2 linked regions of the Stegostoma tigrinum genome follow. The protein of the gene in region 1 interacts with the protein of each later gene in a pairwise test. Links are inferred from orthologs where the notes say so. Each region holds a gene or a part of one and is shown in the gene's direction. Other genes may lie near its edges.

Evidence for each region. The genes of interacting proteins can lie anywhere in the genome.
Region 2: the proteins of diamine acetyltransferase 1-like (region 1) and casp7 interact in binary tests that used the Homo sapiens proteins (3 or more experiments, as listed by UniProt). The two-hybrid records come from large-scale screens. The link is inferred for Stegostoma tigrinum from reciprocal best matches to the Homo sapiens genes SAT1 and CASP7.

The regions. Positions count from the first base shown.
Region 1 is NC_081365.1:77,559,724-77,567,227, reverse strand, and holds the start of diamine acetyltransferase 1-like, read left to right. Parts: upstream 1-4,453; 5' UTR 4,454-4,849; coding exon 4,850-4,915; intron 4,916-7,504. UniProt on the Homo sapiens protein: Enzyme which catalyzes the acetylation of polyamines. Substrate specificity: norspermidine = spermidine >> spermine > N(1)-acetylspermine. This highly regulated enzyme allows a fine attenuation of the intracellular concentration of polyamines.
Region 2 is NC_081373.1:23,858,498-23,866,096, reverse strand, and holds the start of casp7 (caspase-7), read left to right. Parts: upstream 1-4,508; 5' UTR 4,509-4,633; coding exon 4,634-4,694; intron 4,695-7,599. UniProt on the Homo sapiens protein: Thiol protease involved in different programmed cell death processes, such as apoptosis, pyroptosis or granzyme-mediated programmed cell death, by proteolytically cleaving target proteins.

The DNA.
Region 1 (7,504 bases):
CAGCCTTTCTTCATAGGGCCTGTGCTCCAGACCAGGCAACATGTTGGTATATCTCCTCTGCACCTTTTCCAATGCTTCCACATCCTCCCTGTAATGGGGCGACCAGAACTGTAAGCAATATTCCAAGTGAGGCCGCACTAGCATTTTGTACAGTTGGAGCATGACATCACGGCTCCAGAACTCAATCCCTCTGCCAATAAAACCTAACACACCGTATGCCTTCTTAACAGCACTATCAACCTGGGTGTCAACTTTCAGGGATCTATGTACATGGACACCAAGATCCCTCTGCACATCCAAACTACCAAGAATCTTTCTGTTGACCTAGTATTCTGCCTTCCTATTAATCCTCCCAAAGTGAATCACCTCACATTTATCCGTATTAAACTCCATTTGCCACCTTTCGGCCCAATTCTGCAGTTTATCCAAGTGTCCCAGCAACCAGCAACATTCTTTCACATTGTCCACCACTCCACCGACTTTAGTGTCATACGCAAACTTACTAACCCATCCACCTATGCCTGCGTCCAAGTCATTTATAACGATGACAAACAGCAGTGATCCCAAAACAGATCCTTGAGGCACACCACTAGTGACCGGACTCCAGGCTGAATATTTTCCATCAACCACCACTCGTTGCCTGCCTACAGAAAGCCAGTTTCTAATCCAAACTGCTAAATCTCCCTCAATCATGTGCCTCTGTATTTTCTCCAATAGCCTACCATGTGGAACCTTATCAAAGGCTTTACTGAAGTCCATGTACACCACGTCAACTGCCCTACCTTCATCCACATGCTTGGTTACCTTTTCAAGAAATTCAGTGAGGTTTGTGAGACATGACCTGCCCTTGACGAATCCATGCTGACTATCTCCAAACAAATTGTTGCTTGCTAGATGATTATGAACCCTATCTCTTATAATCCTTTCCAAAGCTTTCCCTACAACCAACGTAAGGGTCACAGGTCTATAATTACCTGGTTCATCTCTACTGCTCTTCTTGATCAAGGGCACAACATTTGCAATCCTCCAGTCCTCTGGTACTAAACCTGTAGACAATGAGGACTCAAAGATCAAGGCCAAAGGCTCCGCTACCTCCTCCCTAGCTTCCCAGAGAATGCTTGGAAAAATCCCATCTGGCCCAGTGGATTTATCTGCCTTCACACCTTCTAGAATTGATAACACCTCCTCCTTACTAACCTCAATCCTTTCAATTCTAGTAGCCCGTAACTCAGTCATCTCCTCTACAATATTCTCCTGAGTGAAAACAGATGAGAAATATTCCTTTAGCACCTCTCCGATCTCCACAGGGTCCACACACAACTTCCCACTTTTGACTTTGACTGGCCCTATTTCTACCCTAGTCATTTTCTTATTCCTCACATATGTTTAGAAAGCTTTAGGGTTTTCCTTTATTCTACCTACTATTGTCTGCTCATGTCCCCTTCTTGTTCTTAACTCTCTCTTTAAATCGTTCCTAGCTAATCTGTAACTCTTCAATGCCCCATCTGAACCATCTCGTCTCATCGTCACATAAGCCTCCTTCTTCTGCTTAATAAGAGATAGAATTTCTTTAGTAAACCATGGTTCCCTTATCGCTTCGTCCCTGCCTGACAGGGGCATACCTATCAAGGACACGCAATATCTGTTCTTAAACCAGCTCCACATTTTGACTGTCCCCACTTGTCGGCCCTTCGACACACTGTCAGGAAACTGTCCTGCACACGTTGGACAAAAACTGATCCATCCGATGTACTAGAGTTATAGCATTTCCAGTCAATGTTGGGGAAGTTAAAGTCTCCCATAATGACCACCCTGTTCCTTTCAGTCCTGCCCAGAATCGTTTTGCCAATCCTCTCCTCCACATCCCCGGAACTTTGCGGAGGCCTATAAAAAACTCCCAGCAGCGTGACCTCTCCTCTCCTGTTTCCGCCCTCAGCCCATACCACCTCAGTAGACGAGTCCTCGTCAAAAGTTTTTTCAGCCCCCGTTATAATGTCCTTGACTAACAAAGCCACACCTCCCCCTCTTTTACCACCTTCCCTGATCTTAATGAAAGATCTAAACCCTGGAACCTGCAACATCCATAAATAAATAAATAAATAAACAAACAAACAAACGTAAATTGTATCCACAAAGTCACCTTCTTCAAACAGTTGGGGAGAATGCTGGACACATCGATACCTTAGATCTTTGTTCAGGGCTGCTTTGCTTTTGACTGGATTTCAATCAAGACCAGTTCTGTGTGTTCAGCAGAGCTCAACACAGTAACAACTATTGAAAAAACCAAAAGAACCACGGGTGCTGGAAATCTGAAACAAAAACAGAAATTGTTTGAAAATCTCAGCAGTCTGGCAGCACCTATGGAGAGAAATCAGAGGTCACGTTTTGGATCCAGTGACCCTTCTTCCAAACATCCAAATTCATTTTCTTTTAAATTTTACATTATATTGTATATTATTTATACCCTATGTATTTCGAGAAGGTCACTTCTTGTTTTTGAATGCCAGTTGGCATACGCCCAACCTGCTCAATCGACATTTCATTCATTAGTTAAACTCTGCAGCCCAGGAATGATTCAAGTTAATTTTCTCTGTGAATGAAAATCTCCTTTTTCAAGTCATGAGACCATAACTTTAGGCATCTTGTGTGGCAGTGGTAGTGTCCTTATCTTTGATCTAGGAGGCCTAGGTTCAAGTCCCACCTGCTCCAGAGCTGTGTAGTAATATCTCTGAACAGGTTGATTCGAAAATAAACAGATCAAAACTTTATTCAGCATTCCAGGGGTGGTATAATCATGGGCCCTGTATGGGTGGTGTAAAGCTACCCCATTTTTATATTCCATTCACACAACCATACAATGTTTCTTCCAATTTAACATCCTTACGCAGCCAAGGATAACACATCCTTCTCAAAAAACTTTTCTTTTTCAATGCCATAAATATCTGTTGAGAGTTAATAATTATCTCCTTAGAAGTCTATTACACAATTTCTACCTTTTAATCCAATGTTGAGTTCATTTTAGCCAACTGCCTTCATTTTCTCATAATCACCTTTATTTAAGTTTAAAACGTTAGACTTTGACTCCTACTTCTCACATTTAAGCCTAATGGAAAATTCAATCATGTATGATTGCTATCACCTAGAGGCCCCTTTACTGTGAGGTTATTAATTATTTCTGAGGAAGGGTTACTGGACCTGAAACGTTAACTGATTTCTGTCCACAGATGTTGCCAGACCTGCTAAGCTTTACCAGCAATTTATGTTTTTATTTCTGATTTACAGCATCCGCAGTTTGCTTGGGTTTTATTAATTATTTGTCTCATTGAACATTATCAGATGTTGAATAGTCCAATCCACACCTGTTTGGACTAGCACATTCTGCTCGAAGAAATTGCCCGGATACATGCTATGAACCCATTTGCAGGCTATCTTTCCCAATTTGATTCACCCAAATTGCATAAGATTTAAGGCATGCAGGAAAAATCTGACAGGGAGAACATTTCTCACCAATAGCCAAGCTACATCTTGATCTTGTTTGTAAATGTAATATCAAGGAACCATCCAACAGGACCTGCCATCATCTTCTTTTCCTGGAGGACATCTAGCGCATTAGATGCAGATGACTGCCTGTTGGACTGGTCAAAGATCTTTACGTGCATGAACTTTACCATGAGGGGCAGATGGTACAACACAGTCCCAAGTAGATGCAACATTCTATGACAATGTGGATAGCGCCATCCTCCGTAACACTGGGGAAAGGTAGGACCTAAGCACATTGCTTGTGTACTGAAGGTATATGCACAGCTTGATGCAGCCACACAGAGAGCTAGTCATCAGATAGACAGTTGTTTGGTCGGTTCTTTCTTCCTTTGTTTAGAGATTTCTACATCATGTTCCAGTTTTTAACCTGCAGATAAAGCAGAAGATGGCTCATGTGATCACCACTGTAATGGAGTGAGGAATTTGCCAGACCTGCAGAATATACAACAACACTGGAAGAACCTGAGAAAGCTCTGATGCATAATCGAGAGGGAGTGTTGCTTCCACATGCTCATTTTTCTGTGTCACCCACTCAGGCTGTCTGAGCTGTATCCCCAGCACCTTCAGATAATCTGACTTGATGACCAAGAGAACATGTCAGTCCAGTTCTCAAGACAGCACTGCCTTGCTCTGGCCATAACCTATTTTGGCGAGCAAGGCCATTTGACATGGTCACAGATGCATATCAATCTACACACCGAAACTGGATCTGAGCAGAAGATGGTAATGTTATCCATATTGGAAGACTTTGACCGGCGACACCTGTCTTCGCTGAGTGGGACTATGTTTCCATTCTTCCCGAGGGCTCAGAAAAGGGTTCGATCCACCACAGTAGAGAGAGAGAGCAGCCCTGGCTGTAGATTGGAGCAGAAATCTTTCTGAAGCCATCCACCTCCGGTACCGCAGCACTCCTGTGAAATGGGACATTGAATCCATAATGTTGTGCCTCAGAAAGGTCGAATGCTGCATGAGCCGCTTACATCCTAGACAGGTATCTTTTCTTTTGCGGACTGGCCGATTGCAGCTTCGCCTTTGAAGTTTGCCTTGAAAGTCAGTTCTGGGTCAGGAGGCGGACACTTGTTGGGAGGAGCCCAGCCTGCGGCAGGCTGTTTATAAACAGCGGTAGCGGGGACGCAAAGCGGAGTTCACATCGGGAACGCAGTGTCTAAAGGGGAATCAAGCTGACACTGATACCCGGCACCACGAAAGGTCCCAGGCTGATTCGCGGGACGCGGATGAAGAAAAACCTGGTCTTACTGTACAAGTACTGGGGTCTCCAGAGAAAGAGCAAGAAAAATAAGAGGCGAAAATGACCAGTTACACTGTCCGACTAGCTACACCCCGGGACTGCGGCGACATCCTCCGCCTCATCAGGGTGAGCTCCTGTGTTGATCGGAACGATTGCAATCCACGGGGCGGCCTCTCGGCCCGTCCGGTCTGTGTTCGATCTCTAAGCAGCAGTCGTCGTCCCCCCCCCCCCCCGTCCATGCTTTCCCCTGTGACCCCGCGGTCCTTTTCTGCAGCTCGGAAGGGTCTGAAGCTCTTTTGAAAACATGGAATGAATCCGCCTCCAGCTCCCCCGGGAGTTTGGAGGTGGGATGAGGTCACTTGCCTCCAGCTTCCCCTTCCACGGGGTGGATCCTAAGGGCACACTGAGTATAAGCCCTCCCTCATGTGGTCTCGGTTCACTTTAACAAAATGTGAGGCTGGATGAACACAGCAGGCCCAGCAGCATCTCAGGAGCATAAAAGCTGACGTTTCGGGCCTGGACCCTTCATCAGAGAGGGATGGGGAGGGGGTTCTGGAATAAATAGGGAGAGACGGGGAGGTGGACCGAAGATGGAGAGAAAAGAAGATAGGTGGAGAGAGTATAGGTGGGGAGGTAGGGAGGGGATAGGTCAGTCCAGGGAAGACGGACAGGTCAAGGAGGTGGGATGAGGTTAGTAGGTAGGAGATGGAGGTGCGGCTTGGGGTGGGAGAAGGGGATGGGTGAGAGGAAGAACAGGTTAGGGAGGCAGAGACAGGTTGGACTGGTTTTGGGATGCAGTGGGTGGAGGGGAAGAGCTGGGCTGGTTGTGTGGTGCAGTGGGGGGAGGGGACGAACTGGGCTGGTTTTGGGATGCAGTGGGGAGGGGGAGATTTTGAAGCTGGTGAAGTCCACATTGATACCATTGGGCTGCAGGGTTCCCAAGCGGAATATGAATTGCTCTTCCTGCAACCTTCGGGTGGCATCATTGTGGCACTGCAGGAGGCCCATGTCATCTGAGGAATGGGAGGGGGAGTGGAAATGGTTTGCGACTGGGAGTTGCAGTTGTTTGTTGCGAACTGAGCGGAGGTGTTCTGCAAAGCGGTCCCCATTAGATGGCATGTCCATCATGGGTCTCCTGCAGTGCCACAATGATGCCACCCAAAGGTTGCAGGAACAGCAACTCATATTCCGCTTGGGAACCCTGCAGCCCAATGGTATCAATGTGGACTTCACCAGCTTCAAAATCTCCCCTTCCCCCACCGCATCCCAAAACCAGCCCAGTTCATCCCCTCCCCCCACTGCACCACACAACCAGTCCAACCCGTCTCTGACTCCCTAACCTGTTCTTCCTCTCACCCATCCCTTTCTCCCACCCCAAGCCGCACCTCCATCTCCTACCTACTAACCTCATCCCACCTCCTTGACCTGTCTGTCTTCCCTGGACTGACCTATCCCCTCCCTACCTCCCCACCTATACTCTCTCCACCTATCTTCTTTTCTCTCCATCTTCGGTCCGCCTCCCCCTCTCTCCCTATTTATTCCAGAACCCTCACCCCATCCCCCTCTCTGATGAAGGGTCTAGGCCCGAAACGTCAGCTTTTGTGCTCCTGGGATGCTGCTGGGCCTGCTGTGTTCATCCAACCTCACATTTTATAATTCTCCAGCATCTGCAGTTCCCATTATCATCGGTTCGCTTTAACCAGGTAGACCCATCGAGTCTCCTCTGCCATCCAATGAGAACATGGCTGATCATCATCAACTCCACTTGCCTGCCTTTTCCCCATAACCCTTGATACCCTTGCTGATTGTAAATATCTGTCTCAGCCTTGAATATACTTAATGATCCAGTCTCCTCTGGCAAAGAATTTCACAGATTCACTATGCTTCAGAGGGGAAAATAAAAGTCTTCTGTGTCAGTTTTCATTAGATAATACCTTTTTGAGATCATGCCGTCTGGTCCTAGACTCTCCCATGGGCTGGCTGAGTGGTGCAACAATGTCTCTTCAACTACTTTTATCAAGTCATCTCAGAATCTAGTTTGTCAATAAAGTGCCCACTCATTGTTCTAAACTCATGAGTATGGGCCCAACCTGCTTAACCTCTTCTCATAAGAAAATAATTGGAATCCACCCAGTGTACAGTCTCTGAAGTGTTTCCATTGCTAGTATATCTTTTCTTGGATAATGGGCCAAACTATTCACTATACTGCAGGAGTGTCTAACTATGTGGTGTCTTTAGCATGGCTTCCCTGTTTTCATATTCCATTCCCTTTGAAGTAAAGGCTGGCAGTCCATTTCCCTTTCCTATTACCTACAGGTGTAAACTTTTTGTGATCCATGTTTGATGGTTGCCCAGTTCTTCTGTGCTGCAGCTATCTGCAGTCTTTCCCCATTTAGGTAATATTCAGCTATCTTGTTCTTTCTGTGAAAGTGCAAACCCTCACATTTTCCTCCATTATATTGTACCTATTCAGCCTGCTTTGTCCTTCTGTAGATTCTGTGTCTTCATCACTACTTGCCTTCAAATTCTGACACAAGAATTTTGTGTCATCTGCAAACTTGGTGATGGAGCATTCACTTCAGTCATCAAGTCATTGATATATATTGGAAATAAATGTAGCCCTAGCACTGATCACTGTGATGCTCCATTTCTTACAGGTTCCCATTCTGACAATTCCTCCTTTATCTCAGTTCCCAGTCTTCTGTTAGTGAGCCA
Region 2 (7,599 bases), on another chromosome or scaffold:
ATGCCATGACAGAGTGATGATGCTGTGAGCTCACCACAAGATGTAGGTGAAGAAGTAGGCCTTTCAGCCCCTCCAGTCTGCTCAACTGTTCAATGAGATCATTGTTGATCTGGTGATCCTCAACTCCAAATTTTTATGCCTTTTTTATTCCCCCTATAATGCTAGTTTCCCTGACTAATTAAAATCTATGCATCTGGCCTTCAGCTATTGAGGTCTTGAGGCAAAACTTTGCTGTCTCCAAACCTGATTCTTTTTGACCAGTCCATTGTTTTCCACCTTCAACGAACTCCAGCCAATTGAGAGAGCAGCATGTTCTTTCCTATCCTGAACATAAGGCTTCTATTCTTTCGATGTACATCAGTTCTCAGTTTGCACTTAAATGATAAAATGATCATTCTTGTATGAAGTCCTTTACTACCTCACCCTCCCTGATAACCTTTAATGGACAGTTTCTTTTGTATGTGCTCCACCATTGATAGCTGGTTCTTCAGTCACCCAGTGCCCAGTGGACTTCTTAAATTTTGAACCCACCTCCTAATATTCCAATGAATCAGAGTCAACTTATGACTAATTGGAGCATTTAGAAACTATATTGCCTGTTTCTGAAGAAGTCACATTGGGACTTAAAACCTTAACTCTGTTTCTCTCTCCACAGATGCCACCAGACCTTCTGAGGTAACAAAGTGTGGAGCTGGATGAACATAGCAGGCCTAGCAGCATCTTAGGAGAACAAAAGCGGGCCTAGGCCTGCAACGTCAGCTTTTGTGCTCCTAAGATGCTGCTGGGCCTGCTGTGTTCATCCAGCTCCAGACTTTATCTCAGATTCTCCAGCATCTGCAGTTCCCATTATCTGACCAGACCTTCTGAAGTTTATTTAATTCACACATTATGCACATGACACCCTCTGTGATTGCCTGCTGTAAATATACTGTTCTCCCCTTTTATATGATGTGATTAAAGGAGCAGTCCTTTTGAAAGCTTTGTGATTTCAAATAAACCTGCTGGACTACAATGTGGTGTTGTTTGATTTCTGACCATCTACTTTATAAAGTAGAGATAACAAAGTGTGGAACTGGATGAACACAGCAGGCCAAGCAGCATCTTAGGAGCACAAAAGCTGACGTTTTGGGCCTAGACACTTCATGAGAAAAGATGGTGGGGAGAGGGTTCTGAAATAAATAGGGAGAGAGGGGAGGCGGATTGAAAATGGATAGAGGAGAAGATAGGTGGAGAGGAGACAGACAAGGGGTGTGTATGGAGCCTGTAGAGGTGAGTGTAGTTAGGGAGGGGATAGGTCAGTCTGGGGAGGACAGACAGGTCAAAGGGGCGGGATGAGGTTAGTAGGTAGGAAATGGAGGTGCGGCTTGAGGTGGTAGGGGATAGGTGAGAGGAAGAACAGGTTAGGGAGGTGGGGACGAGCTTGGCTGGTTTTGGGATACAGTGGAAGGAGTGAAAATTTTGAAGCTTGTGAAATCCACATTGATACCATTGGGCCGCAGGGTTCCCAAGCGGAATATGAGTTGCTGTTCCTGCAACCTTCAGGTGGCAAAGGTGTGGCACTGCAGGAGGCCCATAATGGACATGTCGTCTAAGGAAAGCGATGGGGAGTTGAAATGGTTCACGACTGGGAGGTGCAGTTGTTTATTGCGAACCCAGCGGAGGTGTTCTGCAAAGCGGTCCCCAAGCCTCCGCTTGGTTTCCCCAATGTAGAGGAAGCCACAATGGATACAGTGGATGCAGTATACCATATTGGCAGTTGTGCAAGTGAACATCTGCTTGATGTGGAAAGTCTTCTTGGGGTCAGGGAGGAGGTGTGGGGGCAAGTGTAGCACTTCCTGCAGTTGCAGGGGAAAGTGCTGGGTGTGGTGGGATTGGAGGGAAGTGTGGAGCGGACAAGGGCGTCACAGAGAGAGTGATCCCTCCGGAAAGCAGACAAGGGTGGGGATGGAAAAAAGTCTGGTGGTGGGGTCGGATTGTAGATGGCGGACGTGTCAGAGGATGGTGTGTTGGATCCGGAGATTGATGGGGTGGTATGTGAGGATGAGGGGGATTCTATTTTGGTGGTTATTGCGGGGGTGGGGTGTGAGGGATGAGTTGTGGGAAATGTGAGAGACATGGTTGAGGGCGTTCTCGACCATTGCAGGGGGGAATTTGCAGTCCTTGAAGAACAAGGACATCTGAGATGTACGGGAGTGGAATGCCTCATCCTTGGAGTAGATGCAGTGCAGGCAAAGGAATTGGGAATAGGGGATGGGATTTTTGCAGGAAGGTGGGTGGGAGGAGGCGTATTCTAGGTAGCTGTGGGAGTCGGTGGGCTTGAAATGAACATCGGTTTCTAGGTGGTTGCCTGAGATGGAGACAGATAGGTCCAGGAACGGGAGGGATGTGGTCCAGGTGAACTTGAGGTTGGGATGGAAGGTGTTGGTGAAGTAGATGAATTGTTCGAGCTCCTCTTGGGAACACAAGGCAGCGCTGATACAGTCATCGATGTAATGGAGGAAGAGGCAGGGTTTAGGGCCAGTGTAGGTACGGAAGAGGGATTGTTCCACGTAACCTACAAAGAGGCAGGCATAGCTTGAGCCCATGCGGGTACCCATGGCCACCCCCTTCACCTGTAGGAAGTGGGAGGAATCAAAAGAGACGCTGTTGAGGGTAAGGACGAGTTCAACTCGGTTGATGAGGGTGTCGGTGGAGGGGGACTAGTTGGGCCTGCGGGACAAGGAAGTAGCAGAGGGCCTTTAGGCCATCTGCAAGGAAATGCAGTTGTATAGAGACTGGACATCCATGGTGAAAATGAGGTGTTGGGGACCAGGGAATTGGAAGTTCTGGAGGAAGTGGGGGGGGGGGGGGGGCGGGTGGGTGGTGTCACGGACGTAGGTAGGGAGTTCCTGGACCAAGGGGAAGAAAATGGAGTCCAGATATGTGGAAATGAGTTCGGTGGTGCAGGAGCAGGCAGAGACAATGGGTCAACCAGGGCAGGTGGGTTTGTGGATTTTGGGAAGGAGATAAAAGCAGGTGGTGCGGGGTTGGGGAACAATGAGGTTGGAGGCTATGAGTGGGAGGTCTCCTGAGGTGATGAGGTTGTGGATGGTTTGGTGCTCAGGGGTGGGGTCATGATCCAGGGAGCAGTAGGAGGGGGTGTTGGAGAGTTGGATCTGGCCTCAGCAATGTGGAGGTCAGTGCACCATACTACAACTGTGCCTCCCTTGTCCGCGGGTTTTGTGGTGAGGCTGGGATTGGAATGGAGGGCTGCCCGTCCTGCGGGGGAGAGGTTGGAGTGGGTGAGAGGGGTGGAGAGGTTGAGGCGATTGATGTCTCAATGGCAGTTGGAGATGAAGAGGTCAAGGGAGGGTCGGAGGCCTGGGGGTGGCATCCACAGTGTTAGAGGCGGATGAAGGGGTCAGTGGAGGGAGGGTTAGGCTCCCGGTTAGAGAAGTAAGCGCAGAGGCGAAGGCAGCGGAAAAACTGCTCGATGTCCAAACATGACTGGTGTTTCTCTTTTACTGAAGCAGAGCTGGTTTTTCATTGCAAAAATACACTTTATTCATAAAAAATGATCAATATTCATAAGTACTAAAGCAGTTCTACACGGCTTTTGAGCATCAAGGAAAAATAAACATTGAAATTTGACATTCGTTGAAGTTGCAAAAACTAAACATAGAACATAGAACATCACAGCATAGTACAGGCACTTCGGCCCTCGATGTTGTGCCGACCTGTCATACCGGTTTGAAAGGGATTTCTTACTCAAGCAAAACACTATTTGCATACATTGAGGCAATGAGGGTTCTGATAACTGAACAGACCCTCGTCATATTTTGGAAGAAAGACTTTAGAGGGCGGGCTGTCCCTACTGAGCTTTGGCTGCCAGAAACTTCAAGAGCGCCCCTCGGCACCTAGTCCTGGACCTTCGAGGGGGTCAGTTTGCAGCGGAAGGTTTGAGTGAAAATCGTCTGCTTGCCAAACCTTCGCTCTGAGCGGTCTGCAACAAAACAAAATGCCCCATTTTCCCCACAGGTCGAAAATCTAACTCCCTGTTGGCGGGGAAAGGGGAATTGAATTTTTTGAAAGTAGGTTGTTGGTGATTAGTTGGAAATTCCCTGTCAGCCGTGTAAGTGTTCCGGGACAATGAGGCATTCCCGCACTGGAAACACCCTCTCAGCTCACAGGAACTTGGTCCAGTCCGGGAACTCCGAGTGGGGAAGGGGAAAGGGACTCCATCAAATCCTGCGATCGGAGCCTTTTTATTTTGGCCGTACAATTTTCAGATCTGTGGCTACTTCAGTCAGCAGCCAATGGGCGATGCTGGTCACTTGGAGCCTTCAGTTTCAGCTCCACTCATTTCCTGAACTCTGAGTCTCGATACATTTTGTAGCATTTGTCACCAAACAACCAACTGTAGAGGAGTTTGCTTCCTGTTCTTCGAGCTTGTGCCGACTCTAATCGTTTAGGCCGAAGGTACGAGTAAAACTTTGCACCTTTCCCCCCGCCACGTGTTTAATTCAACCTTGGATCCGTGCAGTATAAACAAAACGTTTCTTTTTTTTACAAAAAAAATCAGAATTATGCCACTGCGTCTCACGGATTCTAACTCAGCCCTCAGACCATCATTCTCCGTTTGACGTGGTGATCTATGGGAAAAAGAAACTTTCAAAATGTTGATCTATGTAAAGGACGGAAACATTTTTTCGCAAGTAAATATAACAGTGCGGAGCGGTCATGTGTTTTCTCCAGTAGGAGTTGGAAAAACTCGGTGAAATCTGCATAGATTTGTAGTGCTTTCGGTTTCTAATCTTGTCTTTACAAGAATGTTTTCTGTATAGCCTTTATTTAAACAACCGATGGTGGAAGAAGGACTAATTGGAGCTGATCAATTGAGAGATAGGATTTAACTGAGTGGAGATTAGGGACTTATTCCATTGGCATTTGATCCATTTTTGTCAATCATAAGATTCACTCAGCTCCTAAAAGCTGATTACACAACCTAACTGCAGTCCATTGTACCAAATATTAATAAATATGAAAGTAACTTCCTTTTTTTAACCCTAAGCTGGCACTGAAGGATTCCTGTTACCCAATATGTTCTTTTTTTAAAAGTAATTGTAACATGTAACTGAGTTCTAACTCAAATGGAATAAAAGCAAAATACTGCAGGTGCTGGAAAACTGAACCAAATTGAAAATGCTGAAGAAACTCAGCAGGTCTGGCCACATCTGTTGGCAGAGAAGCAGACTTCTTCAGAACTGCAGTTGAAATGGTAACTGTTTCTCTCCCAACAGATGCAGCCAGTCCTGCTTATAGTGTTATACAGGTTTGCAGCATGGAAACAGGCCCTTGTCCATCCCACCCAGTTTTCCACAATTAAACTAATTCCATTTGTCTATGTTCGGTTATATCCCTCCATACTCATCCCATCCATGGACCTATCCAAATGTTTCTTAAATGACAAAATTGTATTCTCCTCCACCACTACCTCTGACAACTCATTCCAGACACTCGTCACCCTCTATCTGCCAGATTGCCCCTCTGGACCCTTTTATATCTCTCCCCTCTCAACTTAAACCTAAGCCCTCTAGTTTTAGACTCCCCTGCCATGGGGAAAAGCTGTCGGCTGCCTACTTTATCTATGCCTCGCATGATTTTATAGACCTCTAGACAGTCAACCTTCAGTGTCCTACACACCAGGGAAAAAAGTACCCGACTATTCAATCTATCCTTATAATTCAAACCTCCCAGGCCAGGTAGCATCCTAGTAAATTTGTTTTCTGCACTCTTTCTATTCTAATAATATCCTTTCTGTAGTTGGACGACCAGAACTGCTTGCAGCACTCCAAATGTAGCGTTACCAGTGTCCTGTACAGCTGCAACATCTTTTTCCAGCTCCTATACTGAATGCTGTGTTCAATGAAAGCAAGCATGCCGAAAGCTGCCTTCATCACCCTGCCTACCTTTGACTCCACTTACAAGAAGCTATGAATTTTTCCCCCTCAGTCTCTTTGTTCTATAACACTCCCCAAGGCCCTACCTTTGACTGTGTAAGTCCTGCCCTCATTTGACCCTCCAAAACGCAACATCTCGCATTTATCTAAATTAAACTGCATCTGCCATTTCTCAGCCCACTGGCCCAGTTGATCAAGATCTCCCTGTATTCCCACATAACCCTCTTCACTGTCCACTATACCACCAATCGTGGTGTCATCTGCAAACTTACTAACCATATCTCCTAAACTGTCATCCGAATCATCTATGTAAATGATGAATAACGGTGGACCCAGCACTGATCCTGTTGCACACCACTGGTCGCAGGTCTCCAATTTGAAAAGCAAGATTCTATCACTATCATCTGTCTTCTACCTTCAAGCCAATTTTGTATCCAATTGGCTAGCACTCCCTGGACCCATGAGATTGAACCTTAACAACATACCATGCAGTAGCTTGTCAAAGGCCTTGCTAAAGTCCATGTAAACAATGTCCCCTACACTGGCCTCATCTATTTTCTTGGTCACCCCCTCAAAAAACTCAATCAAATTTATGAGACACAATTTCCTATCCACAGCACCATGCTGACTATCCCAAATGAGTACTTGACTTACCAAATGCCTGTAAAACCTGCCTGTCAGAAGCCCCTCTCACAACTTACCTACCACAGACATTAGGCTTAGCAGTGTAGTTCCCAGCTATTTTCCTGCAGCCTTTCTTAAATAATGGCACAACATTACCAACCCTCCAGTCTTTGGGCTCTTTACCCATGACTGTCAAAGATACAAATATGTCTGCTAGGGATCCCACAATTTTCTCCCTACCGTCCAACAAAGTCCTGGGATAGGCTTCCCATACTTTTGTACTGAAGTGCACGTTACAACAAAACCTAATCTAATTCATCAGGTCCCGGGGATTTATCTATCTTACTGCGTTTTAAGACTACCAGCACCTCCTCTTCTGTAATGTGGAGTTTCTCCTGCTGAGTTTCTCCAGTGTTCTGTGTTTGTCGTAGCACATCAGTATTGTAGAATGTAGAAATATTAAAGTGGTCAGGTGTTGAAGACTATATCAGAATTAGTTTTCAGCAGTCATGAAGTATTCACATTATTTCTACACTGTTTTAAAGTCTCATAATTTTAAATGGTACATGTGAAAAGTAAGTTATTCAGTTCCATAAGTGCTGCCTATAATTATAATGGTATTAGAAAAAATACAGTTATTTTTGTAGAAATTAATTTCCTGAATTTCTGAGAAAGTTTTCGCAGGCAACTATTTATCAAATCTGACAAGAACTACAAAAGCAAATAACTAGCACACCTCTTTTGTAGTCGGTGTCAAATGTTTTTACTGGGAATGTGTAAAAGAAACACTAAGTAAGATTTCAGTCCGATATATTTTTAGAGCAAGAGAATAGAGTTTGGTCTCAAACTCCAAAAAGGTAACCTGCCCCTGGAGGTGGAAGATAGGGTACAATTCATATATAACACTTTGCATCTGTTTTCACAAAATACAAGCACAGAATCCCTACAATGTGGATGTTGGCCATTCGGTCCATCAAGTCCACACTAGCCCTCTGAAGAGCATCCCACCCAGACCCACTCCCTTACTCTATCCTGA